Linked DNA regions of Mytilus edulis. The protein of the gene in region 1 interacts with the protein of each later gene in a pairwise test. Links are inferred from orthologs where the notes say so. Each region holds a gene or a part of one and is shown in the gene's direction. Other genes may lie near its edges. The genes, in order: Golgi phosphoprotein 3 homolog sauron-like, translationally-controlled tumor protein homolog and 14-3-3 protein beta/alpha-1-like.

The links.
Region 2: the proteins of Golgi phosphoprotein 3 homolog sauron-like (region 1) and translationally-controlled tumor protein homolog interact in binary tests that used the Drosophila melanogaster proteins (3 or more experiments, as listed by UniProt). The link is inferred for Mytilus edulis from reciprocal best matches to the Drosophila melanogaster genes sau and Tctp.
Region 3: the proteins of Golgi phosphoprotein 3 homolog sauron-like (region 1) and 14-3-3 protein beta/alpha-1-like interact in binary tests that used the Drosophila melanogaster proteins (3 or more experiments, as listed by UniProt). The link is inferred for Mytilus edulis from reciprocal best matches to the Drosophila melanogaster genes sau and 14-3-3zeta.

What each region holds. Positions count from the first base shown.
Region 1 is NC_092347.1:27,682,091-27,693,945, forward strand, and holds the start of Golgi phosphoprotein 3 homolog sauron-like, read left to right. Parts: upstream 1-6,493; 5' UTR 6,494-6,613; coding exon 6,614-6,802; intron 6,803-10,192; coding exon 10,193-10,439; intron 10,440-11,855. UniProt on the Drosophila melanogaster protein: Phosphatidylinositol-4-phosphate-binding protein that links Golgi membranes to the cytoskeleton and may participate in the tensile force required for vesicle budding from the Golgi.
Region 2 is NC_092346.1:46,578,191-46,589,345, forward strand, and holds the start of translationally-controlled tumor protein homolog, read left to right. Parts: upstream 1-5,597; 5' UTR 5,598-5,723; coding exon 5,724-5,751; intron 5,752-7,848; coding exon 7,849-7,922; intron 7,923-8,337; coding exon 8,338-8,522; intron 8,523-9,171; coding exon 9,172-9,290; intron 9,291-11,155. UniProt on the Drosophila melanogaster protein: Involved in calcium binding and microtubule stabilization.
Region 3 is NC_092355.1:77,870,334-77,881,858, forward strand, and holds the start of 14-3-3 protein beta/alpha-1-like, read left to right. Parts: upstream 1-6,805; 5' UTR 6,806-6,863; intron 6,864-7,006; 5' UTR 7,007-7,149; coding exon 7,150-7,464; intron 7,465-10,862; coding exon 10,863-11,010; intron 11,011-11,525. Other genes in the region: mRNA turnover protein 4 homolog, read right to left, coding at 2,448-2,506, 6,529-6,556. UniProt on the Drosophila melanogaster protein: Required in Raf-dependent cell proliferation and photoreceptor differentiation during eye development. Acts upstream of Raf and downstream of Ras, and is essential for viability.

The sequences.
Region 1 (11,855 bases):
ATTCACAACAAATAACCAGAGACATACATATATGTCTCTGAAATAACATATGCTAGCATGTAAAATAAAAACTTATGTTTAAGTGCTCTTATGTAAGATTTCTTTTTTTTTTAGGTTCGTTTGCAAGATAGTATTGTACGTTATGGTTTTTTTTACGCATGCATGTATGTATATCTTCGGTTAACTTCCTAAAGATCTCTAGAGCAGTTTTTTTCCTACTTCTAAATTATAACTGTAGCATGTATGTCAAACATAGATAATCATTGAGAAAATATGTCTCTGTATATTTGTTTTTTTTGTTTATTTTTGTCTATTTGTGTATTTGTATATTTTGTCATTGTCAGCTGGTATCATGATTCCGGTATTGGAATTTACACCAATAACATTATTTGATTTGATTTACTCAGCCGATTCAATTTGTACATGAAATGAATATCACTTTTTCCATGATATAATGTAAATTGTTTCCCGCATTGTAATGGGAGGACCATGCAGCATCGGACCATTTAACTTCAAAGGGTGAGGTCATGTGTCCTTCCAAAAAAAGTATTCTGATCCTCAATTTGATGAAAAAATATTTCTGGTCAAGCAGACGACAAAAGTATATTATTCTGAATTTATATTTCCCCCGTACCTTCATCTTCGCTATTATAGCCAAGGGTAAAGATACTCTCCCCTCCTCTCTGAAGAGAATGGGACTGGAGTATAACTCTTGGGTGGCGAATATGCATACCTTATAGTGTTTTAAAAAATTAGAAAAAAAGAGAAAAAAATCGTTGAAAAACTTAATAAAATTGATTGCGCTCTGCACGATTTTTTTTTACTCAGACAAAAAACCATAACCCTTTGAAGTCAAATGGTTGCTCCCTTACGCAATGGACAACAACTGTATACATTAGTTAAACGGATATACGCTAATTGAATCTAAGTTTACTGGGGGTAAATTAATCATGCGGCCATCATATTCCCCCTTTAAAACTGGAAAATAGTTTTTCTGATGTTTCATATAAAGAAATGCTTGGAACGAATAGAGTTTGATATTTTGGGGTACTACCAGAAAAATATCACACAACGTGACCGATGATTGCATTTAAGAAAGAAAACTTCCCTGAAGTAAATAAGACAATACCTCAACTTCCTTTTCGTGTTTAAAAGTATCAGTAGCCATGCAAATAAAAAAGAATGGTGCCTAACATCTCTCAAGCTCAATGAATGATTATGACTCAGAAATATTCTTATTTTTTTTTCTCTATATTTTTAAACCGGATGTGGTGTACTATGGCTTGTAACATGTCGTATCCTTGACCAGGTCATCCCTTAAAACAGTATTGCCGTTCTGTGTCCTTGAGATAAGTTGCATGTGTTGAAACACGGATGGGATCAATTTGTTTGAGGGAAGGATTTGAAGGATCTTTTTGTCAAAATAGTTTTGACAGTTTAGTATATTTCAAAAAGGCATACGACACAGTTACAGGGGAAGAAATCATACGGGCTTGACTACAGGTCAGGTATATAGCCCGTTAATCGTCTACGTGCATAAAAAAAAATATGCACCTACTATCCAACACCAACAGTAGGGACATACGGTTGGTTTTTTTTTCAAATGCACGTAGACGATTAACGGGCTATATATTTGACCTGTAGTCAAGTTCATATTTATGCTAGACAGCAGTATATTAAGACTACATATTTTTAATACAGATTGCTTTAATTGTACTTGCCCAACAGTTTTTAATCTTTTATTCTTTTGATCAATTGAGTGGACTCGTGTCTATTTGATTTGCACTCTAGTAAATTACAACTGTCTAGTTGTCTAGTGTAAGTTTAACTTAATTGTGAAGAAAACGGAGAAATGTATATAATAGGTAAAGACATGTGATTGTTGTTAAAGACCGTTTATGCATAGCAATATAATATTTTCCCACAGAAAGTAACCAAAAGTTAGCGTGCAATAAATCTTTAAAATTCATGACGTCATCAACGACACAATCTCAGTTTAAACCAATTTTTACTTTCAAATATATATTGCCATACAATAAAACTCAATTATAAAAGGGTTATTGCATGACTATTGGGGAATATTGTCCCTCGTAGAACATATATTGCAAGCTCCAGCAATATAAAATTCTACTCGGGACAATATTCCCCAATATTCATGCAATAACCCTATATTATCAGATATAAATAAGTTATAGACATATTTCGCGAGAATTGCACATATCTACATGTATATATGATCTATCTATACCACATCTGTTCGGATATTGTATTTTCTGCCAGATAACTATGACTTTGAACTTCTGAAACCAGCAAATATCATGAATGGCAATTTAAAATAAATGTTTTAACCACAAAAAGTAGCTTAATTTTTAATTTAAAATATTGAGTATAACCTTTTTACTCAAGAAATTGCAGCAGAGCATGTATTTTGTAAAATTACTAGTACACAAATGTGTGTGCATATGTAGAACTAGTAGTGTATGACTTTTTGGCGACTACATGGTCATTTAAACTCCAGAAAGCAGCACTAGTTTACCAGTTTTTGAAAACCTATAGGTCCATGAAATGTAAAACATATGCTCAATATTGTGTTTTCTTTATAAAAAAATACTTGATTTGCAATCAACACCCAATTTCCAAGATGACAAAGACAAATAAGCATAAGGCAATCGACTCGTTGTTGGTACATGGAACATATAAATGGTTCAATAAACTTGTGCATAATTAAAACAAATGCTGGTCGAAAGTTCAAACGTGAGAACACGCAAAGAAACAAAATACGCAAATAAGAGGCAACAGTAAAATTGAGAATGGAAACGGAGAATGTGTCACAAAGCAAAACGCACAGTAAACCTCGGTTTTTTAGAAGTCGAGTTCGATGTTAGGATATGTAACAGAAGAAACTAGCCAAAGGTATAATAATCAACATTGATTAACAAACGACTACTAGCAGTTTCTGAAATGCCAGCTATATAGACCTCAATTTAACTGATGGAAAGATTATGTCTGAATCATATGAAAATAAAGCACAATCCCTCCCATTAGGTGCTTAGTATCATACCATTATAAGCTATACGAGAAGAACATATATACAACCCGTATTATATTGAAAACTAGTTTTGGAATGAACTGCGTGACAGTGCTTATATTCGATGCAAACAATGTTTTTATTGATGTTTAATTCCCATAAAATCATAACATAAGAAGATACAAATCAAAGGAAACAAACTAAGGGAATTACACGAACTCCAAAATGAGTGAGACAGTATGCATCAGAAAGGTATATTCCTATGTCTTCTGGGTACACACTGAAATTAGAAAGTCTGCTTTATATATTGAATTTCAAGATAAACCACGGCCACACTCTGGTACATTAATCATCAACCAAATACATAGGCTGCACCATTACAAATGATCTATAGATTGGAGTGAACACAAACAAACAGCATGACATGAAAAGGTAGCTGAAGCCTCGGATTCTTACATCAAAACCTCCAAATCAGCTCAAAACCCACCAAAGAGCATGTCTATCCGATAAACCGCAAATACACCAAGACAGTATTGGAAACCGGCAATGCAAACTTAAAGACGAGCTGCACGATAGAAGTTTGAAGTTTATTAGGATATATGATATGAAAAACTATCTGAGTGTAATATGGTTTATTGGGTGACAGCGTATCACCAATATATCTCAGTCAAAAAAAAAAATAGAAAGAACTTTGCATGATGCTTTTTATAGTTTGTCTTTTCAAAAACGTTCATCAGAACACGAAAAACTATTTCAAACTAAAAATTATTACTTAGGTTTACTTAGGTTCTTTTACTTATACAGGGACTAAATTTCCTCTTCATCAGTCTCTTTAACTAAATCTTCTCCACTTCCGGTGACTGTTGCTCTATAGTGGCTTCGTACATCATTGTTTGGTTCATCCAGTATTTGTTTAGTCTATTCTTAAATGTATCTGTGGTTGGTGATGACACTATAATATCGGGTAGTGCATTCCATGTTCTCACCCGGCACTCGTAGAGCAAAGGCATTTCTCATTAATTCTGTTCTGGCTCTCTGTGGAAATATTTTCAGACTGTTGCCCCTTATCCCTGTGCTTGTAGTCATATCCTTCCATGATTTAACAATTTGTGCCGCCTCTCTTTCATAGTTTCCGTTCAGTAGTTTGTGTATTTCAATCCTGTCACCTCGGACCCTTCTATTTTCGAGATGGTAGTTTTAATTTTTGCAGTCTTTCTGAGTATGTTCAGGTAGTTTCATGGTATACCGCCATCTTGGATTGCACTATCGCAGTACACAATCAGTCTAAATATTTGCCCAAATCTGCAAATTTGTATACAAATGTGCAATTTTATTGTTTAAGACTGTTCATTAATATGAAAAAAACTTGCTGGTTTATTGCATTATTTAAATTATTTAAACAAGTATCAAATAGTTGTGTTGGTTTTTAGAATCATTTTTTTTTAACTAAGCTATTTAAGGGGAGATAACACTTTTAGTAAAAAAAAATATACTGGACTGATCGGGAAATTTTTAATTTAGAAAACAAGTTAGCTGATACCATTTTTTTCTTTCTTTTTTTCCTTTAAAAAACATTATAAAACCTATCTTCTCGAAATTTATTTCAAATTCTATATCATAGATTTCTTTTTAGGCACAAAATGTTTTTTTCATGATCATTCTAAGCAAATTTAGGCAATTTTCAAAGACTCATAGCATGAAAAATAAAACGGTGACCCATAATTTTTATTATATTTTTAAAAAGAGCACAGTAAAATCTTTATTTTGGCAAAGTATAATAAAATTCTATCTCAGGAAACATATACCGATGATCTACCTTAAATTCTTTAATCCTGGTAGTTGTTTAGTTGCCCGACGCTGCACATTCTCAATCATGTCATTATATTCTATTTTATATGGATGCCATACTGAGCTTGCATACTCTAAATGTGTTCTTACGGGTGTGTTTAACACCACCAAAAACTGGGGGTGACCTCAGGTGCTTTAGAAGGGTAAGCAAATCATGCTCCACATGTGGCACCCGTGTTGTTGCTCATGTTATCACAAATCCGGTAAATAATCTAATTCGGTAAGTCACATTCATGAAAGGGAAGGGGATTGTAGTTACGACGTAAGGAACATATCCGATATACCATCTGTGAAACGGTTATTCCATAACGGTCAACCAACTCGTGATGACGTCCGTAAAATTTACGAAGCGGGATGATTTCAACTTCACCATTTTGAACTCTTGGTTTAATAGCTTCCTTGTGAGCAGCAACCCCGGTCTATCAAGAAAATCATGATAGGAAAAAGGTATCTGTATCTAGATATTTGAAAGTCCTTATCAGTCCTTCTTATGCTGGTAAAATTAATTTATATTTCAAAATTTGGAAAAAAACCAAAAGAGGCGGATTTTTGTGATTGTTTTTGTTTGGTTATATAGAGAACCACAGGCTGAAGCGCGAAGGGAGTTGGCCCCCTCTTAGGCAGTCAGTGGGCCCCTACTTATGAAAATTTCTGGATCCACCACTGATCTGTATCTAAATGTTGGAAAGTCTCAGTCCATCTTATATGTTGGTAATATGGGGACGAAGTCCCCAATAACAGTAGAAAATTCAATAAAAAAAAAAATTCGGGAAAATTTCCCGAATTTTTCATTGTACTAATGAACTCAAAATCGTTCAATTTTTTTTATGTCATGTTTTGAAATCCCGGACCTGCGCAGAAATGTACAATATACTTCCCTTTTCCGGTCTCGTTTGTATGAAACTTTGAGTAAAATATATATTTATCAGTCTAGTTTAAAATAGGAAGGAACGCGCAATACTTATTTCATTTTTGATAATTCCTTGATATGAAAAAACGTTACCTAATGATAGCGTTTCTTGTTTACATTGCATATGACGTCATAATTTAAATAACGTCACAACTAAAATCCCTAACAACAGAACCAAAATCGGAAACGTTACTGTATTTCCGTGTCTTTTTTTTTTTTTACAAATAATTGAGTTACAAAATAATAATTCATACAGACTTCGTCCCCATTTACAGGTAATGCCTGCCTCATATTATTAATTTAAATTCAAGTTAAAATTTGGCAAAAACAAAGGTCTCTGTATCTAAATATTGGAAATTCCTTCTCAGTCCTTCTTATGTTGGTAATAATAATTCATATTTCAATATTTGAAAACAGAAATTGAATGACAATACTAGTAATTAAAGACATGATAATATACTTGACGTCTGTTTAATAATTTACAAAACTCGCCACATTAAATAATTACCGGAATATAACCGACAATTGATCTAACTTTTAGTATTTTCATAAAAACGTAAAACAGATTTGGATTGTATTAAATATTTTTGTTTTTTTAATTTTCATTAATATATTTTTAAATTAAAATGATAATTTGAACGATAAAAAAATAAATTGGATAACAATTTTTAAATTCAGAATGTTTCTAAAATTGTTTAGAAAATCTCGGATGTTTTGATGTTTACGTCAACGAAGACGGCCATTTTGATGGCCAGACTTTGCAAGTGACTGAGGTTTCTTAGGCTAAACAAACTTATTGGCCTTTTATATGCAGTAAAATAGATACAATGGCTTCTCAGAGAGGTGGAGGCTTAGTCCAACGACGCGGTAATAATGTAAGGACAGATGAACCAAATTCTAGTGAGCAGTCGGAAGATCTTTCTGGATATCCTGATGAAGAAGAGGAACACGACTCAAAAGAAACTCGTTTAACTTTAATGGAAGAAATCTTACTGTTGGGATTGAAAGACAGAGAGGTTATACATTAGAATGAATGTGTTTTAAGAATTGCTATTTCCACATTTGTCGACAGACATAACTTGTTCCCCTATACAGTTATGCCAACTTTTCATGAAGCAAATACGTGAGATTTGGCCAAAATTGAAAAGATTAAAGAGAAAAAACAATAGTTTAAAGAAAAACGCCGCCTTAAAAGCATGAAGTCTCATGCTAAATGCGTGAGACTTGGCACTACTGCCTATATGATGGTCACAGGCACTAGGTTCTATCCATGGGAACACCCACTATCAACGTATATTTACGTTTATAGATGCGTGAGACTTGGCAGCCCTGCCTATATGAGGGTCACAGGCACTTGTTTCTATCAATGTATATTTACGTTTATAGAAGTGGGTCTTCTCATGGATAGAAAAAACTGCCTGTGATGAGGGTTGTAAATGGAGGCAACCTCATGACGAATCACAGTTAAAATTCATTAATGATGTAAATGTCAATATTTTGTGCATAACTATAAGATGTACACTTTCTTTTAGACGATAAAAAAAATTCCAAAAATTACTGTAATGATATTAATGTTTTTGAGACCTCTGCGAATCAAGTAAAATTTTAACCAATTTGACACCAACAGTTGGGTTGCAGAAACTAACCGTTTGACGCATAAACAAAAGGCATGGCATCACTATCCTTCTCCATATGTAGAGCATAAAACCCTAGGTAAAACAAAATATTACACAAGATACTGATTGAAGTTGCATGTCGAAAAAATACACCTTATCGTTATAAGACATCTCAAAAGTTCCTGTAAAATTTCCTTAGGCTTATAATAATAATAATCTTTATTTCAAGAGGGTATGCTCAATTAGTACAAACACTATTCTCCCTTGAGGCCCTCACACTCCACTCACAATGCAATTCACACAATTTCTTCATAACAAAGATAAACATAAGCAAACATAATCAAAATTGATACATAGTCATTTAAATAATTCCTGGATTTTCAAGTAAAAACTTAAAGCAGTTTTTTTTAAAAGTATGTTTGACATGTGTCTTAGTGCTTCTGGTAGTTTATTCCATAAAGTTGGGCCCGAATATGAAAAAGCTCTAGCTTCTAAATGTGTTTGTTCTTGCCTTTGGTATATTAAGTAATTGGGTAGTATTTGATCTAAGTAGCATTCCATTATTATTTGTAACATAGGAGATTTTGTTAGACAAATATTCTGGGACAGATCCATATAAACATCTATGAACATACATGTATAAGGCCTTGTGGTAAGTTAAACGATCAGTAAATCGAAGCCATGATAACTTTTTAAACATTGTATTAGATGGGGTATCATAAGGAAGTTCAAGAATAATTCTAGCTGCTCGTTTTTCAAGTTTATCTAATCTATTTGTATTTTGGTCTGACACTGGTGTTTTCCCAAATTGTACAACAGTAATCCAAAATAGGGAGAATATAACCATTAAAGTATAACTTTCGTGTTTCTAGGGGGAGGGATTTCTTTATCCTAGACAAAAGATTTAGCCTAGTACTGATTTTTGTGCACAAAGTGTCAAGGCTTGTATGCATACTGTACGAAATTAGATATCCTTGAACATGCAAGTTTACCTCAATTCACGAAAATTTGTACTTGCAAAAATAAATGAACGTATAGTATACAATGGTATAATGGTTCTTCTTTAACAAATTTTGACTTGAATGGAGTTGTCTCAATGCGTCATTGGCACTCATACCACATCTTCTAAATTTTATTTCAGTCATGAAGCTGATTCAGCTGTGTTTTCCCAGGTCAACATGACTGTGCCGTCCCGCAGCCCCTTTTAAAATAATTTCATTGATCATGCAGAGCCTTAATTGAAAAAGAAAGATGGCCGCCAAAATGAAAATCAGTATGACACAAAAATATGCAAATATTGATTGACTCCACAGGGCTCACACTACTTCAGAATTATAGGGAGAAGTGACTTCTCTTTTTGAAACTGATAGGGAGAAGTTGTGAGATTTGAAAGAGAAGTGCTCATTCGCGCGGTGCGTTACAATGTTTGGATTTTACAATAGTATAAAGGGCCATATGCAAATAATGTTCTTTTTATATTGTTCGATTCATATCTGAGTAAAAAAAAATACAATTAAAGTAACATTTGAAATTAAAAGTTGTTTAAGTTTTACTAAGGTTCTTGTGACAAACTTATTCCAACTAAATATCTAGCACTAAAAAAAAAAATTATTTTAAAAAATGTTAAGAAATTATAATATATCATTATTACAATTTAATTAAAAATTATCTTGTGTATGAAATTCAGTGTTTCTCATAAAAAAATATAAAAGTTATTAAGCTGGGCCATAATATATTGAAATTAGTATAATAGTCTCAGAGTTAAGCAACTTTAATCAATAGTTTGAAACAATCCATAAAATATATAGGGAATTATATACACCAATCAATTAGATGTAACCAAAAGTCTCTTAATGTGTGTGGAATGCGTAATTTTTCCCTTTGGGATCAATATTCTTCTGTCAGCTGTTCCGTCCGTGCGTCCGTAGTAATTATTGTAAAAGTACGGATTTCGGTCATAGCTGGTCCGGTTCAGATCCGTAGTTTAGAAATCGGTCAATGGCGGATGAATGCAAGAAAATTTACAAAAATAAACAATGTTTGACAAGTTATTTGGAAAGGAACATGACGTTTTTAATGCAATAAATGGATTAAACATTTACTGGAGGCAACTTTTATCACGTTTAAATGAAGTAACAAACTTATTTTGCCGCCGAAATTTAGGTTGATGTACGTTTTCGAGTAACAAGCACCGGAACTTGCGAAAATGCATGAAGTGATAAAAAGTTGTATTTTTATCAAATAACCTACTACACACTGCGAAGACAATGCTTCAATCTCTTTTCTAAAGATAATGAATCGTTTATGTCTGAATTTCTTTAATTATCAATAAAAAATTGATGTTTCATCAACTTGGTAAAAATTGAAAATGTCCGATGACGGAAGCGACTGAAAGCAAGTATCGTCAAGAACAGGGCGACTTGATTTCGCTTTTGGGGGTCGGGGAAAGCGAAGTGAGGGTCGGGAAGGCCAAGTCGCCTGGTAGCGTGAGCCCTGACTCCATCCTTTAACTGTTATTTGACTTATTATGGCTTATCAGATCGTGCAATTCTATACATACTAAAGCTAATTAAAGAAAAATGGTTTTTTTATAATTTTTTTCAGATTACAGTTGAATCAGGATTAGAATTGAGGGAAAAGATTGAAATACAATGTACAAATAGGAAAAATCTTTATGCGTGGCTTACCCTACAATAATGCTGAATTAGATAAAACAAAACTCTTCAAACTTGACAGCTGAATGATTATTTTGAGTTACATTTATTGTACATGCAAAAATTTCTGTTACAGGGTTACACATCATTCTGGAACGACTGTATATCATCGGGTCTGAGAGGCTGTATATTAATAGAACTTGGGTTACGAGGAAGGGTAGAACTTGAGAAAGCAGGAATGCGTAGAAGAAGTTTACTTAATCGTAAAATCCTTCTAAAGAATCCTGCTCCTACAGGTGATGTCTTACTGGATGAAGCATTAAAACACATTAAAGAGACAGAACCCGCTGAAACAGTTCAAAGTTGGATAGAATATTTAAGTGGTATGTGAAGTACTCCATACTGTTGTACTAAACTTTTTGATGATAAAATATGTAAAATTTAATTGTAGGCAGAGAAGTTTGCAGATTTCCTGATGGACCAGACTAAAAACTAGATCTTTAAATAGGGGTGTCTTAGTGTCCAGGTATCGAAATACATTTAGTTAGTCTACTGTATTGCTAGCCTCTCAATTCTGAGGTTGTGAGTTTGAATCCTGCATGTGGAAGGCACTCTAAATGGACTAGGATTGTCAATTTTACTTCCAAAGAGTTGTCTTCCTTTTAACTAGAAAAAATATACATGATACAGTGTATATACATGTCAGTAAGTGTTGTCTATTTTCAATCAGTATTAAATTTGTGCAGCAATCATACATGTAGGTGCCAACCAAAGGGGAAGACCCCCCACAGCAAAAAAATAAATTCTGAAGCACATTATTCATAGACTACTTACAGTTATTTGTAATAACAGCATATAAAATGGTACATATATTATAGTTGTATGCATCCTTGCCCTTAGCATGCTTAGGGGTTTCCATGGCAAACAGCTCATACCATTTCCGGTTTAGACTTTTTTTACTAACATAAAACAATATAGACAACAACACCCATCAATTACCGCATGGTAACAGTTTATTCTGGTCGACATGTTTCGCCAACAAGGATGGTGTCTTCAGGACAAAATTACACATGAAATCAAACAGTGAAGTACAAATTTTGCGGTTGAGTGGTTTGCCGAACAATAGAGGTTGTTATGACGACGTTATAGATATAAATAGAAAGTAAAAACTTCACCCTATCACCATCACAATTGGAAGCAGTTCCTCCCTCGGAGCGAAGCCAGTTTATTTGGTACGGGATGGCCAGTGGGGTGTTGTCCTATTTGGAAATGAACTGACTTTTTATGATCTACTTTCATCATGTCTACAATATTACCACTAGAAACCTCCATGAGAACAACTACACAGTCAGACCTGTAAGAATAGCAGCTAACCACATCGTTAATAACTTTATTGACTAACTTTCACTTTTAACTATACTATATTCTTATTTTACTTTCACTTTTTATATGTATCTATAACATCGTCATAACAACCTCTATTGTTTGGCGAACCACACAACTGCAAAATTTGTACTTCACTGTTTGATTTCATGTGTAATATTGTCCTGAAGACGCCACCCTTGTTGGCGAAACATGTCGACCAGAATAAACTCTTACCATGCAGTAATTGATGGGTGTTGTTGTCTTTATTGTTTTATTTTACTCTTATAGTGAAAGACAACTGTGAATACCTTTTGGTATCCACCCACTATTACCCAACCGCACGATAACCACTTCAGGTGTTGGTTCACCTTGTTCAAATTTATTTACTAAATAAAGATTGGTGTACTGTTATTGGAAAAGGATAATTAAATCTT
Region 2 (11,155 bases), on another chromosome or scaffold:
TGTTTTCGTTCAGGAGTGGATTGTTTGGCACAGGAAGACGGGTTTCATTCAGAAAAGATCTTTTCGGAGTATCATGGCCTGTAATGTATAAGATGTCTCCCCGCCGTCGTAAATATGTGCCATCAGTTTCCACTTTAACGTCATTTCAAGACTCGTATGGTATTCTAGATCCACTCGCAAGCAATCTGATTGGTTAAGAAGAGTATACCTACATCGAAACTTGAGTTTTAACTCTTTTGAATTAATAAATAGGACAAAGATCATTAAGTTGGTAGACTTATTGTTTTAATTTGATCCGTTTCTTATTATATGTTTTCTTTCTTCTTTCTATGCCTTAGGCCCTTATGAATTTGTTCGTAACATCTCTCGGAAATCGTAAATCAAATGTTTTCAAAACTATAGTAAAGGATCATGTAGCCCTTTGTCATTAATTGTTATTAAGTTAAAGTTTGCAGACTTTGGTTTTAAAGTTGAAAACGAATTAATTTGAGGAGGTCTTCTAAAGAAGCCTATTAGGAAATGTTCATTTGCACAATTACAATGTAATCATGTAGTTACTCCTGAATCAATTGGACTTAATTGCATTTCATTTGGTTTAACTTGGTAGCATACAGTCATGTGAACAAAACTTCCCAATTTTGAACTTTCCATTTATATTATGTATACCAACATTCCGGCAGCGCCTGCATATGGAGTATATGTAATTAGAATCTCCCAGTTTATATCTATATTCTAAGGCTTGCGTTTCCTTTATCATGATCATTAGATGGTTGCTGCTCACAATGAAGATGGCAAACGAAAAGATCCAAAGTGGTGAAGTTGAAATCATCCCTTCGTAAATTTTACGTACGCCATCACGATTTAGTTGACAGTTATTAAATTTCTGTATCATAGATGAAAATGGAGATATTACAGCTACCGTAAGGTTCCACAATATCGTCATTTTACTGAATTAGACTTATTACCAGGTTTGTACTAACATAGGCAACACGATGGGTGCCACATGTGGAATAGGATTTCTACTCACACCTTCGGAGGACATGAGATCACCGCCAATTTCTGTTGGAGTTAATGTTGTTCAGTGTCTAGTTTTATATATTTGGTTTTGTATACCATTGTTTGTCTTATGGTCGTTTTCTCACTTGATTGAGGGGGGGCGAGGGGTTTAGCTGTTATGCTGTTATGGGGCATTTTAATTCTTTGTTATCTGTTATTCTGAAAATATATTTGCTGTTAGCTGTTATTGTCTCATTCTTTGTTAGCTGTTATTGTCTCATTCTTTGTTAGCTGTTATTGGGTTTTTTAGTTATTTTGTTATCTGTTATTGTGATAATGTATTTGCTGTTAGCTGTTATTGAAAATTGGGATGTTAACATTTTTGGGACAGCCAAAATTCGGTAGAAATTGAAGATCATTGAACATTGGAGTCTACCACTAACTAATATGTTGGTCCCGTATTCGGAGAAGGATTCCATTAACATATACCCATCACAAAAGTGAGGTCCAGGACAATTCCATTATATCTTATGATTATCCTTCGTAAAAGCTTTTATATTATATGGTACATAGAATCAGCTCTTTTCAAAGCAGAACCAAATACATTGTACAATGAAAGTTCCCACCATGTACAGGGTTCCGAAGCTACACGTAACTCATTACAATTAAAGATTTATTTCAACTTCAAGCCATAGTTCACCTATTAAACTATATATATGTATTCTACTTACTAGTAGACTTGGTATACAATCAAAACCTGATAACAATTTGTTCAAATAAGGCCTTTGAAAATAGTGGAATAAATTACTTTTGGAGTGTCAAAATTGGTCCTACTTAATAAATTGCATGCTTATACTAGTAATTGGTGCTTTTGATTTTTCTACCCTATATACAACTTTGCCTCATAGTCTTATTCAGAAAAATTCACACACCTCATTAAATGGGCATTTAAAAAAAGTCAGAATGCGAATATATATATTCAAACTCTTTTAGGTCATTTTTTAATTGCAACAAACACAAGAACTATGTCAATTGGACCTACTTTGATACCATAACTGCCCTTGAATTTTTACTAGATATAATTTTTGTCTCTTTGACATATTCCTCATTTCCAATCTCAATTTTATTACACATTATTTAAATTACAAACATGTGTGAGTTTCGATATTTGTACAAAAATAAATGCTGAAAAAAGTATTCCATAACAAATAAACAGCTACGCCATGAGTGCATTATACGCCCGTCACCTTTTGGAAATATTCGATAACTTCTCAATGTCATATCAGATATTTATAAAAATCAGTCAATATATATCATGTATATAAACAATACATCAAAGTTTCATGAGAACTGCAGAGAACATTTTTGAGTTATTGTCCGAAAACTGGAAAATACCATCTTTTTTAATGAATAAACCCCTTAACTGAATAACATTAAATCGGAAATAAAAAAAAAATCGAAAAGGCATGTTCATAGAAAATGGAATTCATTACAAAGGATTATACCCGTAATAAGAAATACTGGATTTGTCAAGGACCCGACTTATTTTAATATTTCATTTACTGTTATCTGTTTTTGTCCATTTTAATTCTTTGTTATCTGTTATAAGCCAAATCAATTTGCTGTTTTGCTGTTATTGGGACCCCCTTGCCCCCCTCTTGATTCAAGGAAAAGTATTTGACCTAATTTGAATTTCATTTGTCTGTCGTCCGTCTTAAAATAGCGACTATGTCACATCTACATCTACATCTACATAATACTTCTTAACTTCAATATGTCACTCATTGACTAATTATAGAAACAAACAAAGCGTACACGAATGAAATGACATGTGAAGTATACTTAAATAAGACAGCAACCCAATGACGCCAACAACAAAAACAAAAATATATAGAACAACATACAGTCTACATAATATCACGTACGATGATTGTACAACAATAGCAGTATACACATTTAATCATTAAAGTCTATAACACCAAAGACAAATATTTGATGGATATTTCTTAAACTTGTTAATCGTTTATAAAATTGCTTTTATTAATTTCAAATTCCTGAAGGTAAAATCACACTTCCACATTATAATAGCGGACTACATTTGTGATAAAATTTTGTTATATATAAATTTTCAGTATTGAAAATATAAGGTTCGTTGAAAGCTGCGATGTCCAGTGGCGGATCCAGAAATTTTCATAAGTGGGGACCCACTGACTGACCTAAGAGGGGACCCGCTCCAGTCACGCTTCAGTGATTCCTTATATAAGCAACCAATTTTTTTCTCAAAAAGGGGGGCCGGGCACCCTGCCCTCCCCCTAAATCCGCCTCTGATGTCACTGCAAAAGTAAAATAACAAAAATACCAAACTCCAATGAAAATGATCTTACTAAATGGTAAAATCAAAAGCTCAAACACATTGATCAAATGGAAAACAACTGCCATATGTCTGACTTTGTATGCAGGCATTTCCGGACTTTTAGTATACAAAAAGGTGGATATTACACCTGTTGTTTTGGTTACTTAAAAAAACGCATACATCGACAAAAATTGATAATGTAAATTCAGTAATCTTGAAGCCAACTGAAGATCAACATTAAGAAAAGGAAAATAAACAATAGGAATGAAAAAAATCGTCCTGTTTATCGTAAACTTTATGATTACTCACGAGCCATTTTAATATTAAAGGGGCATTAGCTATGAGATAAAACGCAGTATTGCATTTTGATTATGATTTTTTTTTATCAACTATTAATGAAAGTGATATAGTGAAATAACAATTCGCGTTTAGTAGCCGATTTGGTCAATTTTGTCAAAATAAGATAAAAAAAAAAAAAAAAAAACCCCAACAAATGTCCATAGTACACGGATGCCCCACTCGCACTATCATTTTCTGTGTTCAGTGGACCGTGAAGTTATGCTCTAATTTGGCATTAAGATTAGAAAGATCATATCATAGGGTACATGTGTAATAAGTTTCAAGTTGATTGGACTTCAACTTCACCAAAAACTTTAACCTGAAGTGGGACAGACGGACCGTCGAACATGTGTATCAACCCCTGGCCTTAGCTGGATATAGGTTACACATGTATTGAGCTATTAAAAGGAAAATAATGTCAAATGTAAAGTGAAATCAGGATGAACCATTTGGGTGACTTATATTCGATCAACAAAAAAATTTGCATAATGGTAAAACGATGATAAACATACCTTTTAAGATACAATGTGATATCAAACACATCTAGAAAAATCTAATTGCACAAGGACGCTTTATATCAGTTAATGTTTAAATGTATGTTTATATTTGGTTATATGACCGTCGGCGGTCTTCTGAGGTTATCTCGATATGGTTATATTAGATTACTCGGAACAGGCACATATAAACATTGAATCAGCATTGGCGGGGTTAAGCATGTTATCTGATTTCTAATATATTCTACGTTTCTATGGGAAATAAATGCATGGGCAAAAAAAACGAGATTTTTCTTTTATAAGGATCAATTTCTTTTCAGAATGAAATGTTTTTATGAATAAACATGTTCATGCTTTGCCGACTGGTACTAGCATAGAATATTTTACAAAATATTCTATTAAAGGATCTCGAAAACCACTTGAACGACTAATTGGTTCTGAACTTACAGTTAAAAATATACATTTGAAATCCTCTTTAGATTACAGTTGAAGACCCCATCCGACATCAATCTCGTCTTTCGCCAATACTAAATTAAACATGTTAAAAGAAGAAAAATGGGGTGGGGGGGGGGGTCGGGGGGGGGGAGTGAAAAATTTATGATGTACCCATTTCTTTCCAGCTTTTTTTGAAAAGGACTATACATGTAATTGCCAACAAAGTTTTGGTTGGATAATAAGGCAGCGAATTTTCATCTTTAAGGCGTCCATTTTTTCCCCTCTGGAAACCCATTTCTAGTTTTCAACTTTATTGCTGTAATAAAGCAAAACACCGCCATATGTGTTATTTCAAATCTCACTAGATATTTCTATGTGCTTCATTTTATGGTAGAAACTGTCTTATTGATATATGTCATTTTTGTGCATAATTTTCACGGTACCTTGTGGAAGTTTTAGATTTGTTAAATAGATGCTATTTCGTTTGGCAAAACAACATTTTTAAAGTTAAAACGGTATTTAAATTAATTACTATTCCCCACCGACTTCATAAAAGCGGAAAGAAATAATTGGCTTCTGATTTCTTATATATGACATGTATATATGACCTAAAATCCTGTATTTAACCATGAAAATTAACAGTTAAGAAATATTTGGGACGATATATAATTGTTGGCATAGTTTTGACCAGTCATCTCTATTTGTATATTAAAGGCACAAAGTCTGCATGAGATGAGACAAATTGAACCTCACGTTATTTTCCAGCTGGAAATATCTGATTAAGGACATTCACATTGCAAACATGTGCTGCTCTATCAAACCAATCATCGGTCTTCAGAAAATGTCTACTCCTGGATGAATTTGACGGTCCGAGTTGTCTTCCTAGACGGTCTATTATGACTTAATAGTCGGTCCAATTTGAAGCGGTACGACTTGTCTCGGGGACGAGTTAGTCCACATTGGAAGAACTGTCACTTTAGAAAGCTTCTTTGTTTAAAACGTTTTGATGACAAACAAAACCGGAAGTGGTCCTTTTACCAGTTCTGACAGCCGGTGTCGCAACACTTCTGTTTATAACAGAAAATAATCTACCAACATCAGCCAAAATGATTATTTACAGGTGTAAAATATCAGGTAAATTAATAAATTATACACTTTTTGATATTTTTTGCCATTTTGATTAGCTGAATTTTACGATCAAAGTAGAAAACAGAATCTTTTATATGAGTGTATTAGTCAGCTGGTTTGTAAAGCTATTTCAAACACTCCCTTTACTATCCCAGTTTGGATCTGGCTGAAAAAACTGGTGACTTTCATTCAATGATTTGTTGTAAAGCTAATGTAGATAACAACACAGAAATCACTGTAGAGATCGACTGTAAACAATGGTCAACTAGACTGTTACAATTCTACTTTGAACAAATTATTATAACCGAACGGCGAAAGGAATCTGTGACGTACCCATCCATATTCATAAGTGGGAAATACAGATACAGATTATAAGTCCGAGATTACTCTGACGTCCAACGGCTGTTTTGCCAGACAAGCTGGGGCCGTGGGACGTCAGAGCTCGTCCCATATCAAAAAGTGGATATTTGCCCACCCAAAATAGATGCGCTGCTTCGTCGCTTCTATTTCTGATTGAGGGCCTTGAAATTATATAAATTGGGCATCAATCTGTTCATTTTTCATTTATCTCTTCATTTATGTAAGTTTCACCTACCTGCCCACCTTTATTTTTCCATATTTAAACAGTTTTCACAGAGACCCATCGATTTCTGCATTTTGACTTTCACTTTCAAATGGACGTCAAGTTACGAGAGAGTTCGTGGCCTCGAGACTCAAATATGCAAATATTTATATTTTTTCACCTCCTTTGTAGGAGATCAATGTTTAACATTTAGAAGCCAACCACGATTTTTCACCTCCTTTACAGGAGATCGGTATTAAGCATTTAGTTCCGACCACGATAACAATCGGAAGCTCTCGGACATTTAGATAACTTGCATCGTAAATGAACGAGGTGTTACAATATGGTCATTTGCACTGTTTTCTCATGGTCACGTGATAATCTTTGAAAATGAAAGTCAAAATGCAGAAATCGCTAATCTCAGCTTTAAAATTGAAAGTGAAAATTGTTGCTTGCAAGGTAAATTGGTCTCAAACTGTCATATTTTTTTTAGAAATAAAATGATCTTTGAACATCAATCGTGAATCCGTGCGGGAAATATGTGACAATCAACACGGGTACGGAATCGTCGCAGCTTAATTCTGTATAATGTCACCAGTAAATACTTTGAATGGTCTTAACTTTAACGAAGTTTCGTTGATATATACTTGCCAAAGATAGGTTTTAACAATAATGCACACGGAAGCGTAAATAAATGTCAAACTACAGAAAATGGTCAGCTGTTCATTAAAATATTTTTGTTTTAAAAAGTTGTATACCAAATATCTTAACCATATTCGATTTTATTAATTCTGAATGAACATGCTCTCTGCAAATAACAAAGGGGTGAATTCTAAGCAAAAGGCAGATGATGAAAGTAGAAGTATTTTTTCAGACCAATGACTTCTAATGAACAGGGAAATACACCTCCGATCCGTCTACACTCAGCTGTCAGTATACGCGGATATTATTGCTTCCCCTAATCCCAACCAAGCTAAAGTTTTAGCAAGTGATAAAAGCAAGCACCATGTTCTTGGTTTCAGTGACAAGTGGCTGACTGAGTTTTCATGGCTTAGAAATGTTAAAGGGGGTATCAGCAAAAGTTATTGTGAGAGGGGGTTTTGAACCCCTAAAGAGGATAAAGACAAAGTTGAGGAACAGACTGTCCAACAAAATAGCATTATCTTGAAACAATATCCCTAGGAGTAGGGAGTACAGAGATGAATATTTTTATTTTGACATCTTTAATGGACTGAATATAAATAACTTTTGTGTTTAAATCAATTTATTTCATATATTCTTGTAATTCATTAATACTTTGCATTATTAAACACACAACACAAAAGATTATAACTCATATTGCATGTCATGATTTATGACTGATTGATTGATTCAGATCACAAAAGTTCACTATAAAAAAGAGTTACACGCCCTTGAATTTTGCGCCTTAGAAAATTCCTGGGGAGAACACTGGTTAAAGATGTTTAGTGTGAAAATATGATTTAAAATTTGTTTCTTCAAAATTACTTGAGAAAATATATTATTGTATTACTTTTTTTCAGGAGATGAATTGTTCAGTGATGCTTTTGAACCAATGATTGTGAAAGAAGACTTCTTCTATGAAATTGAGGGAAAGGTAATTATTATTTACATTATCATCCTTCTCTTCATCTATATCACCCTGCTCAATTGCTTTGTTATTCTAGTACCAAGGCTTTGAGGTGTGATGTTATTCTTGTACCAAGGCTTTTTATGTGTAAGCAACCAATATAAGTGAATTACAATGTCTGCAGAAGAGTTTTCAACAACGTCATTATGTGTGAGATGTCCAGCATAAAACAATCGAAATGAGGGAGGAAATACCAGCAAAAGAACTAAACAGGTTATCTTGTTTTCTATGAATAGAATTCACAATCTTCAGGCTTTCATTCATGTTTGAAGAGATAATATTTATTAATCTGTTTGCTTAAAATGTATGGTAGAAATTAAAAATATAATCTAACATGTTACGATGTATTTGACAAACTACAATATACTTTTATCTTTTGTAGAATATTTCTATCAGCAATAAAATTGATGAATCTGCAATTGGAGCCAACGCTTCAGCAGAGGAGGCAGCAGAAGGCCAAGAAGACTTAGTAGAAACCAAAATTAATGTAATTTACAGTCACAAACTTCAAGAAACCAGTTTTGACAAGAAAGGTTTCCAGACATTTATCAAAGAATATATTAAAGTGTATGTCAAATTTTGTCATGCAGGTTCAACAAATCTCCATACGACCACTTCTGTTTATAATTTATGATTCCTAAAACATTTTAATTTCTAGGCAGTTTTTTTCATTGCATCATTTCAGTATCGAAAGATTTTCTATTTACACTATTTAATGTCCTTGAATATGAATTAAAATTCAGGATTCTATAAGTGCACTTTTCACCAGCCCAGTAGTCTGCACTTCTGTGTTGATATGGAGTATCATTGATAAACTTTCCAGGTCCTTGCTGTAGAACTTCTTTTTTTTTGTATTTGGGGAAACCAACATTCAGAATCCATAAGGCCTACAAATGTCTGATCAATTCACAGATTTCTGTAGAAAGTATAAAGAAAGTAGCTGAAATTGATCATTCAAATAGTTGAAAGATATATAATGCACACATGATTATTGAACACTTTCTAATTTGTCTTTTATATTGTAAAATTATATATATTGATCACATGTTTGTACCATTTGTATATGTAAAGATAAATTGTGCATGCATTTTAGAGACAGAAAATTAAATGGCTATACAGTTATAATACAATCAAATGCTGCATTTGATCATCAAGATTTCTAAACTTAAGTTTTTAATGATTGAATCCTTCAAAAAATATATTTTTGATATTTCAGATTATTAGCTAAAATTGAAGAAGAAAAAGGCAAAGAAGCTGCAGATGAATTCAAAAAGCGAGCAGCCACAGGTGTAAAAAAAGTTTTAGAAAACTTCAAAAATTGGCAATTTTTCCAAGGTATATTTACATGTAGTAATATATATTAAAGGCCAAATAAAAGTATATGTGTGGTCCTAGTTGCCCTCCAACCCTAGAACTTTTGTTCTTCATTTCTATTTCATAGGATCAATTTTTGAGGATTGTGAATTTAATTTTATATAATGAAATTCAGATTTTTGTCATCTGATTTTCCGAACTTAGCCACTATCATTATTAGGGTATTTAGTTAGAAAAATGGGTGGTGTGACCCAATCAACCAATCAAGATGGCTGCCATGGTCAGTGTTCTCCCCAGGATTTTTGGATAGCGCTGTGGTAAGCGCGTAATTTTCGACGATTCTCAGTAACTTTATCGCGGCACGCAGTTTGTTTGTAATTTATTTGTTATGTGTTTTTATTATATCATGCTGTTGATTTTTCCTCTTGTTATGATGTCCTTGTCATGCTCATGGAAGTTACAGTGTACCCATTAATGAGGCTTTGTTTGTTAACGACGTGTTATTGTCTGGATATATAGAAGAAGAGGTTTTTTTTCTCCATGGCCTTGTAATTTCATATATTAAATCCTCATACTATCTATGTATACAACTGAAGATGGATCTACACCAGACTGCCTGTGCCAAGATTTCTTAGCACCATCAGGTAATGTTGCAGAACATGTAGGACTAACAATAAAGTCATTATCAGTTTCTGTTTGGTTTTGTAACCAACTGTAGCAGTGTACTGTCAACCTTACGACGTTTGACAGGAATTTACATTTCTCATTTTTATGACCCAAACGTTTTATAATATTTAAATGGCTTCATCCAAGCTGGACATCGAGAAAGTAAATTTCTCAAGTCGTATCAGCTTGGGGTTTGTTTTTCTAATCATATCCTCTCAAAATTGTTATCAAATGGTAGAATTTCTGACAAAAAAATTATAAGTTCAAATAGGAAATAACTAAAACCTAACAGACTTGCTCATTTTCGGGGTTTGTATGGATAGTAAACCCGGCAAATAATTTGGAACAAACCCCTGTGTTTGATCGTTTTTAAAATCATCGTTTGTTCAAAGTTCGTAAAACAAGTTTGTGAGTGACGTCGGCAAATGCGACCAATTCATTTCATCTCATTTCATTCATATATGCCTCTATATTTTCTTTAAATTATAAAAATAGATGTCAATGTTGAAATCTTTGTTTATTTTGATCTGTCAAAAACGCCATTTTGTAAAATTTATTAGACTGGTACCGCGGAGTTACTTTAACACAACGGAAATAATTCATTCGAAAATTGTAAACCAGTCGATCACGTGATCCGAAGTGAAAAATAAGCGGGAAATTTGAAAATTTTGAAAAATACGAAAAAAAATATAGCGACGCGGTTGCGTTGGATAGCGACGCGGTCAGTGCAATAGGACAGCGGGGAATTGCAATAGCGCTGAAAAGCGCTGTGCTAAAACGGCCTGGGGAGAACACTGATGGTTAAAAATAGAACACGGGGGTAAAATGTCATGGATTTTTCTAGCATTCCATAGGTTTCGGACCCATTCCCAACGGCAAAAACCCTACATTTTTCCCAATTTTGGGAGTAAAATTCCCAAATGATCACAAAATTCATTTTCATCTTTATTATTCATGACAGAGATGTTTATTTTATTAAACTGCTAGCTTTATGCCAAAAATCGCCAACAAGTAATGTAAATCCAAGTTGAAACATATTGAATGACAAACAACATTGACAAACAATGGCTGCCATAAATAAACAGGAAGTGTGGGCAAATACAAAAACCAGATCAAATCCGGGAACGGACAAGTATATAACTCCGGGTTTGTCAATAAAATACAGTAAATAAAAAATGAAAAGAACCAAACATGTGACAGCTATCATAGCAACACTAAAA
Region 3 (11,525 bases), on another chromosome or scaffold:
ATTTGTATTTCCCGCTCAAAACTATTTTATCCGGAATTCTCGGGTTTTATCTTTATCGTATAAGGTCCAGTCCGTTTGGTATCACCTGAGCGTTTGACATTAACACTTATACATTTGAAGTTTCAAAGCATTTGTTTGAAATCGATGTTCAGCTTGTGAACGCTTTCTGAAATCATGATATGACGTACCCTACTCTGTACCTTTAACTTAAAAGAGCATGGTTCATTTACAAAAAAGTTCGTTTGATACAAAATTATCATCTTGTGTACAAACTAATTTGTAAACGGACGTTGTATTCTATGTAGGGATGGCCTTTTGTGATCCGCAGATCTCCTGATGATTATGTTAACGATGCCGCTATATTATTTATATCTGACATGAACCAAAAGTGACAAAACCCTGTAAAGTGGAGAATATCTGGCAGTAAAATCGCCAAGTTGTCCATACAGATCATTTATAAATGCGATGTAAAAAACGTGACAATTGTCAGAGTTTTAGGTCTAGTAGCATTTTTATTGGAAACAAAGGCACACACGATGTTTTTAACACTCTAGGGACTTTTTCTACTAGTGATGTATGTCTGCTCAGACATATATTATCAGTACAAAGTTATCTTTTACAGAAATTCTTAAGGTAAGCATACAAGGTACGTAGTACAGAATATAAGTGCAAGTTCAAACTCTTCAAAGTTCAGGCATATAAACGTTGAAGATATGCGGCACAGCTCTATTTAGTTATATTTGAAAACAAAATAGTAGTGCATATGAATTAGCTTCACATTCTACATGATTTTTTTTTTAAACTAATAGTCCCAGAAAACTTATTTGCAAAAACAAAACGGACACCAATGACATTTATATGCATCTATAAAATAAAATATTATACCTACCTGCCTACCCATGACAAATAATATACCGAGCCAAGTTATTTTTTTGGGGAAAAAAATAAAATATTTTACCTACCTACCTACCCTGTTTCAAAACATAGGGTCGGAAAAGGGCAAACAAACAATATTTTAATTTAGGCCTGATAAAGATTTTTCCTAGGTAAGACGTTTCAACTGAGGCACTACACAGGCATCAAAAGGCGTCATTATGGAGTAAAGGGGGTGGCGTCAAAAAATGTCATTATGGAGTAAAGGGTTAAAGAAATTTTTAAACAGTTTTCATCAATTTTCATTTTATTGAAACATGATGTATGCCTTTTTGTGCTTCTTCGTTACATTTGTTGTTTTTATAGTGATTAAGATGATAACATAATGTTGACTGCTGTACCCCTATTTTTGACATTTTTACTCTTTGAGTATGTTTGTTTTGTTCACACATCGTTGACAATGTAATGGAATTGGATGTGACTGTCATATAAGTGAGAGGTTTAGCTAGCTATAAAACCAGGTTCAATCCACCATTTTCTACATTAAAAAATGCCTGTACCAAGTCAGAAATATGACAGTTGTTATCCATTCGTTTGATGTGTTTGGACTTTTGATTTTGCCTTTTGATTTTGGACTTCCCTTTTTGAATTTTCCTTGGAGTTCAGTGTTTTTGTGTTTTTACTTTTTATTTAAATTTAGAAACACAGCTTTATCACACTAGTAGAAAAAAGTATAAAAATAAGGAGATGTGATATGATTGACAATGAGACAACTATCTACCAAAGTTCAAATAAAGTGGATGAACGCAATTATAGGCAACTGTATGCATGGTCTTCAACAAAGAGAAAAACCCATACCATGTGATCAAAATTGGTTGATAGTTGTCTCATTGTCAATCATACCTCATCTCCTTACTTTTATGTTATGTTGTTGGTTTTAGCAAATACATCATCTATCCGCCTCTGTTTCAGTTCTAAACCTTTCTTCTTTGTCTTATCTTCTTATTATATTACTGTAAATTCAGAAATTATAGCGTGCATTTATTATTACGATTTGTAATTTAAAACTTATATGCGATTTTAATTTTTATGATTTTGAGAAAAATCCTGTTTTATGCGAGTTTAAATTATTGCGTTTACAACTCTGTCACATTTTTCGCAATAATAAAATCCTCGCATTAATTTCTGAATTTACAGTATATTGTTGGTTTTTAGTACTTACATCATCTATCAGCCTCTGTTTCAGTTCTAAACCTTTCCTCTTTGTCTTATCTTTATATTATATAATATTGTTGGTTTTTAGTACTTACATCATCTATCAGCCTCTGTTTCAGTTCTAAACCTTTCCTCTTTGTCTTATCTTTATATTATATAATATTGTTGGTTTTTAGTATTTACATCATCTATCAGCCTCTGTTTCAGTTCTAAACCTTTCCTCTTTGTCTTATCTTTATATTATATAATATTGTTGGTTTTTAGTACTTACATCATCTATCAGCCTCTGTTTCAGTTCTAAACCTTTCCTCTTTGTCTTATCTTTATATTATATAATATTGTTGGTTTTTAGTACTTACATCATCTATCAGCCTCTGTTTCAGTTCTAAACCTTTCCTCTTTGTCTGTGTTAATGAAACTAAAAAGATACATATACATTTTGTTAGTCATAAAACATTTGAAGCATCATTTAGGCCACGGTTTTTTTATTTGTTGGTTTACGGATCCGCCGACCCGATTTTGCCGATTTTCAGAATAAAAATAAAATTGACTTTTCATGCTTTTTTATTCCCGCCGACCCTTATAAATGCATTATCCCTGAAAAATAATTAAAATTTTCCTTTATTATGAAATGAAATGCATTAATCATTAACAAAGTTGATAACACTTTCTGTTGTGAAAAATAAAACTTCCAATTTACGTTTCTGAAAATAGACAAATCAATTATAACTGACCTTGAAATGTCTTTTGCGCAAATAATTTTGCGTAACGAAACCTGTGTTTAAAACCAATTACAAATTAGTTCGTTTCCCTTATTTGTCATCAGTCCGTAAGATGCATCATCTCAGAGAAATAGACTTGTCCAAATGTGCCATTCCAGTTAATTTCTGACAGGTTGGGATGGATGGGGAGATTTTTTTTCATACCTATCAGAAAAAAACATCATGTAAAACTACCTATCAGATCTATAAATTAAGACCTATCAGATTTAGAGTTCCTGTTCATATTTGGTGGATGGCTTTCATGGGAAAAATTGACCTATCAGAATTTTTTACTGCAAGGATTGTACCCATCAGAATTTTAAATACAATACCAGATAATGCATGATACGAAACTTTTTTACATTCCAAAGCACCCCTAAGATCTGAAATAGGTTTTTTTTGTAACCCCTAAGATGTAATTATTTTTAATTATTTTCTGCTGCAAGACCCTCAGAAATTTTTGCGTATATGTGTACGTGTCAGATGAAAAAACCCAAAATTTCACCCCTAAGATGTATAAATTTTACACCCCTCAGAAAGGACCATCCATCCTCCTTTAGCAGATATTAACTGGAATGGCCCAATGTGGACAGGTGGAATACATCAATTAAAGTACTGAATATTAACAAATCATTTGAAATTTTCTTGTTTCATAGATAACAAAAAATATCAATCATTGGGATAAAAACCGGATTGCATGACAACTGATTAACCCGATATTGTCGTTTTTCCAGTGGACGAGTCTATTACGTTTTTCGACACGTGTGTTGAAACTTATTTTTGTACGACGTTTTTATATTTTTTTTCTTTATCAGTTTTTGTGCTTGAAGATCATTATTCACCAAGTTTTCTGAGAGCTACGCGAATCTGTTTTTCTTGTTTGTGAAATGACGATTTAATTTCGTGTTTGTCCGTGCAACCCCCCTTTTTTTACAGGAAATTATTAAACGATGTCATGCGATGTTCATGATCACTGATCAATAATATTTCATCGAACTTAATGTTAAGAAATGATGACAAAACAGCATATAAGATAAACATTTTGTTAGTAAGGTGAAATATATATTTATTTTGCATATTTTTTCTGTTTTGAAAGATATTTTTTTTCTTTTTTTTTCCGACCGACCGACCCGACTTTTTTATGCGAAAAATCCGTAAACCAACAAATTAAAAAACCGTGGCCTTATATGTAAAATAAAAAAATAACATTTAATTATAAATTTGGTTATCAACAGGCTCAAAACTAAATTTGTGTAACCAAATATGCATAGAAGTTTATTTTTGGACTAATTTAATTATGGTTAGATTTCAAATGGAGGAAAGAAAACCAACACCACCAATAACTTTTTTTTCAACTTGTCATGACAAGTACATACCAAAATTTACTTGTCCAAATGAAATTGTTACTTGTCCAAAAAATTTCTATTTAAAATAACCTTTTTTCATTTTTAGTTTATTAAAGGAGCAAAACGAATTTAAACAATATAACAGAATTTGACGGTTTTTTTAAAAAAATACTTTTAAAAATATGAGTCAAGTACAACTGAATCTAGTCATGTCACAGGACTTAGGTTCTAGTTCTCATCAATGCTAGTCTCATCACACTCTGCACATGAGTACCATCTGATAGGCCTGTATTCTCATTGGATTTGTATTTTGTATTTTTTTTTAAGTTGAAAAAAGTTTTTTTAAATGCAATCAATAAAAAGAAGAAGATAAGCCATTATAAGGTCTGATTGCCAATAAGAGAACTCTCTTCAAGAGACCAAATGACACAGAAATTAACAACTATATGTCACCATATTGCAAGTATTGTTTTTTTCTACTTATGAGTTTAGTGTCTTTACCCTGCAACTAATTTTGTATATTGTTCGTGCTTTGAAAGACACAAAAACTCAAAGTTTTATGCCTTAAAGCACTGCCTTTAAAAAAATCAATTAAATATAGTTATCTTAATTATTTTCCATTTCTTTCTTTTTTGAGACTCCATAAATTGGCTATTATGAGACCTCATTTTTACATTCAGAATGGTCTCAGATAGCAGGAAATAGAATGTAGTTCTGAAAAGTTTTCTTGTGGGGGGGGGGCATGCCCCCAAACCCTGCTAGAAGGTTCAGGTCGCTGACGCGACCCTCATCGGTGACTTAGGGCTAGGCTGTTTTTATCAGGACTACGCTGAACAAATTTACTCTAGACCTGTGGTCTTAACAACATTTTAAACTAAATTCTATCCCTGCTGAGTTGGGTAAGGCATATACTAATATGACTGAGTTATTCAGATATTAACAGGTCAGGAATAACCACCAATTAGTGGATTATACCTCAATTGACGTGTAATCCACCAATTGACATATATGGGTATAGACCAATTGATGTATAATGGGAGTTTTTTGTAAGAAAATGCTAGTGTGAGATAGGAGCATGATTTTGCAACTTGCAACCTATTTTATGACCTTTATTGAGTCCTCTGAAAGTTTCAGTTTTGCCAAAGCCTGCTGCATCTCTTGAGAATGCATGTGTACAACAGTTCTTTTGTTGAAACATTTGTACTATTGACCATGATTGACTTTTGATAATGAAAGTGAAGTATTTAAAACAAAGAGTTCCATTCACCTGTGGAGTTGTACTCATGATCACATGACTGCAGACAGTATTGATGTCCATTGACAGGTGATTAGTGGTAAATTTGCCAATCAAGAATTGACAAGATATATAACAATATAAGAAACTGCAAATACAATTATTGATTAAATTCATAGGCGGATCCAGGGGGGCCCTGGGGGGCCCAGGACCCCCCTTTCGTGGGAAAAATTTGGTTGATTATATAGGGAATCATTGAAGCATGACTGGAGCAGGCCACCTCTTAGGAAAAGTTCTGGATCCGCCACTGAAATGCAATATGTAATGTCACTATACTAAACTAGGAATGTTTTACAAGTTTTCATACCATAATATGTTTTTAAGAAGACAATGCTCCATTTTGGTGGAATAATTTGCTTTGAAAAACAAAGAATTATACACCAATTGGTCTATACCATTATATGTCAATTGGTGGATTATACATCAATTGAGGTATAATCCACCAATTGGTGGTTATTCTTGACCTGATTAATGAAAAAAATATCAAAATTGAAAGTGAAACAAGGTTGAACAATTTAGTTACACAATGTAACTACTTCAATAAGAAAACTGACAAACATCAATGAAGATTGGAGTTCAGGGTCACGTTCAATATCGTAGGGGCTACGTAAATTGATGACTATTGAACAAGTAGTTAGTATAGCTGCTACATAGTAATAGGCTAGCTACTAGTTCAATAGTCATAAATCTACGTAGCACTACATAGCCCCTACAATATTGAACGATATTGAACGCAACCCTTTGCACCAGCAAGAGCAGGGTTCGAACTCACAACCTCAGCGTTGACTAGCTAGAATCGGACTTCTTATCCCACTCGGCCCCCGAGGCCCCTTGTTAGTCACGAAAGTACCGTAACCCCCATAAAAACACTCATACAATGTACCTAGTAGTAGTAAAAAATAACTATAGTATAAAATTATAATCCCAAATATTTTCAAACTGTTAAAATTTCAGGGATTTTACAAAATGACTGTAACATTTATTTGTATTTTGTAGTGTGTATAAGCAGTTCTTTGAATAAACAACAATATAATAATACTTTTCTTGTCCCTTTTTGACTTTGGCATCTTGATAATAAAATGTACACAAACACACGTGTTTTTTTCAACCGGAAATAAGGAAATATTCCTGTTTTCAGGAATTGAATTAAAAAAATATTTTTATTAAAATTATTACACTTTTTATCAATTCCAATTCGAAAATATCATTGAAAATAATTTATGGTAAAGTTTTATTTATTAACAACGTTGACCTTCGACACCCGGCTAGGAGTTGACATAGCAACAGTGACGTTAGGGCTACCTTTTCGAAAGAATGTAATCCCCGAAATCTATCGAAAGAAATGGAATTCAAGAGAAGATAACCCACTTCCAGGTTTTAGGAATTTTGATGCAAAATAGTCCCACTGCATAATATATTCGATTATTCAAACGATAACTATTTTTATTCTTTTTAGTGAATTAATCTTCCCTGACATATTTTTATAGAATATAAACAATTAAACTTTATCATTTTAGTCCATGAAAATAAAGGAGTAGCGGAAGAATCAGTGATGTCACCTGTACTTTGATTGGTTAGTGTATTCCGCCATATTGGGAAGGTGGAGATAGAGTAAAGAGTAGTAGACTTCAAATTTCGATTATTTACAAATATTTTAACCATGTCGGAAGTCGAAGATAAAAAGGAACGCGAGACACTAGTTCAAAAAGCTAAGTTAGCTGAACAAGCTGAAAGGTATGATGATATGGCCGAGGCCATGAAAAAAGTGGTCGAAAAGTTTAGGAAGTTGAACAACGAGGAGAGGAATCTACTTTCCGTTGCCTACAAAAATGTTGTTGGTGCCCGGCGGTCATCATGGAGAGTAATTTCAAGTATAGAATCTAAGACTGATGGCACAGAAAAGAAACAGCAATTGGCTAAAGATTACAAAAACAAAGTAACAACCGAACTCCAAGAAATTTGCAAAGACGTTCTGGTGAGTGAAAGTTGACGGATGTTTCTTGTTGTGTCGTTTTGCGTGCAGTTTTCATTGCATGTTTATTTTTATTGTGTTTTCTTTAAGTTATAGATGTTTATATATCAAAGAAAATATATTCTACACCCGATCGCAATACACAGATTCAGATAGCATCGTTTTTGCATGTGCAGGAAGACGAGAATTTGGATCATCATAAAATTGGCATGTGTTTGTATATTCATCCGCGTCATTGATAAAAATGTAAAAATTTTGCATGAGTCATGAGCTCATCATCTCCTCTGCAGTATTATTGCAGATCTAGACACTCCGTGGACATCTTGAATGCAGTATGCAATGATTTATCTTATTGTTCACAGAATCAACAGCTTGGCAGCACTGATTATATAATGGAGCACTCTGCATAAATTATGCAAAAATGACAAACCTGTGTGATTTTCCACTATGAAGTACTAGTATCCATATTAAAATTGCCAGCAGTTTTTAAATGCATTATTCTTGGCTTGCATTTATATGAAGTCTGTAGGTGTATGCAACTTAAGACGTTATACATGTAGTTAAATGCATAAAAAATAAAAGAAGGTTCTTGTACCAAAGGATTTTAAAAAGGCTTAATGCACTATATATATATTTCTGAGTGTGCACTTCGTACAAATACATGAGATAATAGCTTGAATCGTTCAAAATTTGGGATAGGTCTCATTTTTCCTAAGCTGTATTTTTAAATTGCTAGTATTAATGTTTCCCTATGTATACAAACTGAAAGTACAAGAGAAAAAACAATATATAACCAGGTCTATTATTTAAATACAACCTTGATGTGCATGATGGAAGTATTTTTACAACAATCAATTAGTCAATATATCTACAGACTCACTCCATTCTGTAACAGTAACAAGACAGTTATAAATGTTCTGCTCTTTGATGATGGATGTTGTCTCTGCTACACATTCCTTGTTTTTCCATTCTCAATTGTATTTGTATAGAAGATGAAAAGGTTGTGTTTATTCCTATTGTTCATTTAATTTTAGACAGCATATTGCCATATAATATGTACATGTACATTGTGAAAAGGATCTGAATGGAAAGAATAAGGAAGCCGAGACAAGGGGTGTTTTTCAATTTATAACTTGATTATAATAAAACTTACTTCCCCTAAGGTCATGGTCTACTGATCATGAGTTTGAAATAATAAGCAATTTTTTAATGTTAACTTTTCTGTTTGAGTCAATTTCGTAGGAACTAGATCAAAAGTAGATATTTTCTAAAAGGTTGCATTACTATCAGTATCAGAACAAAAAATTTCCCGACTAACTCATCTCTGGTCATGATCTATGGACTTTATATTGTCAGGTCTTGACTTGTCTTGTACAAATGCACATGGTATGGAATGCAAGTTAATAGACCTTCGCTCTCTCAACTGTTTCTTCAGGCTACACCAAAAACTTTTTTCAACTACTAGTCCAAGACTAATATCCTAAACATTTTTATTATAGAGCCAAACAGTCCAAAGGACATTTTACTTGTCTTAGCCATCGGACTAGTGGCTAATCGTGCAGACTGCTGTTTGGTATATTTTTACCTGCATTGCCTAATCAAAGCCAACAACTTGATACAAATTAAAAAAAAAGGCCCTTCAACTGCACTTAAAATTAACCTTAAACCTTGCAAGTGTATAATTTGTTTTCAAATTCTTTTTGGCTTCTAAAAAGGACTGTATTATGATTTTAAATTTGGAATTTTAGAAGCCAAAAAGGAAAATGCATGAATTTTGGTATTCAGTTTGGCAGCTTTGTTAAGTAGAGTATGCACTTTTCACATCTGGTTGGGGGATTTGCTGCTGCAGCAGTTTGCATCAAAATCTTTTTCCAGTTCCCACTACCAAACTGAATACCAAAATTCCAACATTTTCCTTTAAAGACTTAATAAATTTTTGCAAACACATTTTATTTGTACTTACTGGTCTCAATAAAATTTTACTAGTCTAGGCATCAGACTACTGGTTATATGTAACTTATGGTAGAAGACATTTGAGCACTGGCTTTGCCAGGAAAGTGGAAATTTCTTTAAAAAAAACTTATGCCTAAAAGGGAGAGTGATTTTCATTTTTTAAAAAGCTTTGTTTCAGTGAAGTTGACTTAATGTCAGTGTACATTTGTTACTGTAGATGCCAACAGTTTGCAGAATATTTTATTAAAGATTTAATTTTTGTTGTCACCAAAACAGTGAAACAAATATGAAATGTTTTGTTATCTATGCATTCAAATAGTCATATTTGTGTTATATTAAAGCTTGGTCTCCATAGAACTTACATTTTGTTTTACAAAATATTATGAGAAGAAATAATGGGTTTATAATTTTTGTGGACCCACCACAGCCAAGTGTGCAGTGTTGCCCTTGTCCATCTGTAGTTGGGTCTGTCCATTCCAAAAATTAGTTTCTGTTCTATTTCTATTATGTGTGGTTCCAGTTACATCCTATTAAAAAGTAACTCAGTAGGTCGGCATTTTTTTTAAATTTCTTTTGTAATATTTCTTTTTGGATTGTCAAAATCTGGAAAAAATCTGGTGTTCCCCTGATTTGATTCTGGTATTATACAAGCCCAAACCAGAAGTTCACCATTTTACATGTTTGTTTGGAAAATAAACAGTCTGTTACATGTATGTTTGTAGTTCATTTGAATGCCTTCTGATATGAATTGTTGCATGTCAGTCTGCACGGTTAGCCACTAGTCCAATGCCCCAGACTAGTAAAATTTCCTTCGGACTAGCAAGTTTTTGCAAAACTTTGTTTGGCCAAATAAGAAAAATGTCAGAATATTGGTATTCGGACTAGTAGTTATAAAGTTTTTGGTGCAGACTGGCATGTTAACCTGATAACAGATACTAATGATGGAAATTCAGTTGATTGAAATCTATGAATTTAATTAATCAAATTCGCAATCTTCAAAAATGATCATTTGAAAAATTATTTTTAGAAATGAAAAAAAAGTTCTAGGGTCGGGGGGGGGGTTTCAACTAGGGTTGGTCGGGTACCTGGAACCAAGCATGAAATTTTATTTGGCCTAACCCAACCAAATATTATGTCACTTATAAACAACACTTATTTCAACAAAACACAGTTCAAGTGTGAATCAGGGTGGCATCACATTTACTGTTCTAGAACATGTAGAGTTATGCCCCTGTACAATTTCATTATTGTTAAATGTACATAATGTACTTTAACTTATAGTATACATGAACAATTATCTACCATCGCCTTAGGTTAACATCCCAATTGTTAACACCTGCAGGCTTGTCCTCCGAACGACATCCTACTTTGGGAAATTTTCTACTTATGCAACACACTGTTGTCAACATTTAAGTAGATATTCACTTTTAAATCTTCATTTTTTACAGCATCTGCTTGATGAACATTTATTAAAAGAAGCTACTGAAGATACAGATAGTGGAAATGAAAGCAAAGTGTTCTATTTAAAAATGAAGGGAGATTACTACCGATATCTGGCAGAGGTTACAGATGAGGATGGGGCTGAGGGTAAACAAGGTAAATACATTGTGCTCAAATGATCTATTGATCTCCTCGTAAAGGGAGATTACTACCGATATCTGGCAGAGGTTACAGACGAGGATGGGGCTGAGGGTAAACAAGGTAAATACATTGTACTCAAATGATCTATTGATCTCCTCATAAAGGGAGATTACTAGCGATATCTGGCAGAGGTTGCAGATGAGGATGGGGCTGAGGGTAAACAAGGTAAATAATGATGTTGAAATCTACAAAGTCTCATCATTCGAGGCTAAGTGGTCTAAGTAGTTCTTAAACTGAAATCATAAGCCAGTCAACACTGAGGTTTGTGAGTTCTAGCCCACTCCTATGGGTTCACTCAACTCCAATCTTCATTGACTAGATTTGTGAGTTTTCCTATTGAAGGTCATTGTTTTCTCTGGGCACTCCGGCTTTCTCAAATGAATAGTGGCCCTAAAACACCAATAAACCAGTCAGTCTCCCTAAAACACAAATAAACCAGTCAGTCTCATCATCTCCTCGACCCCATTTCT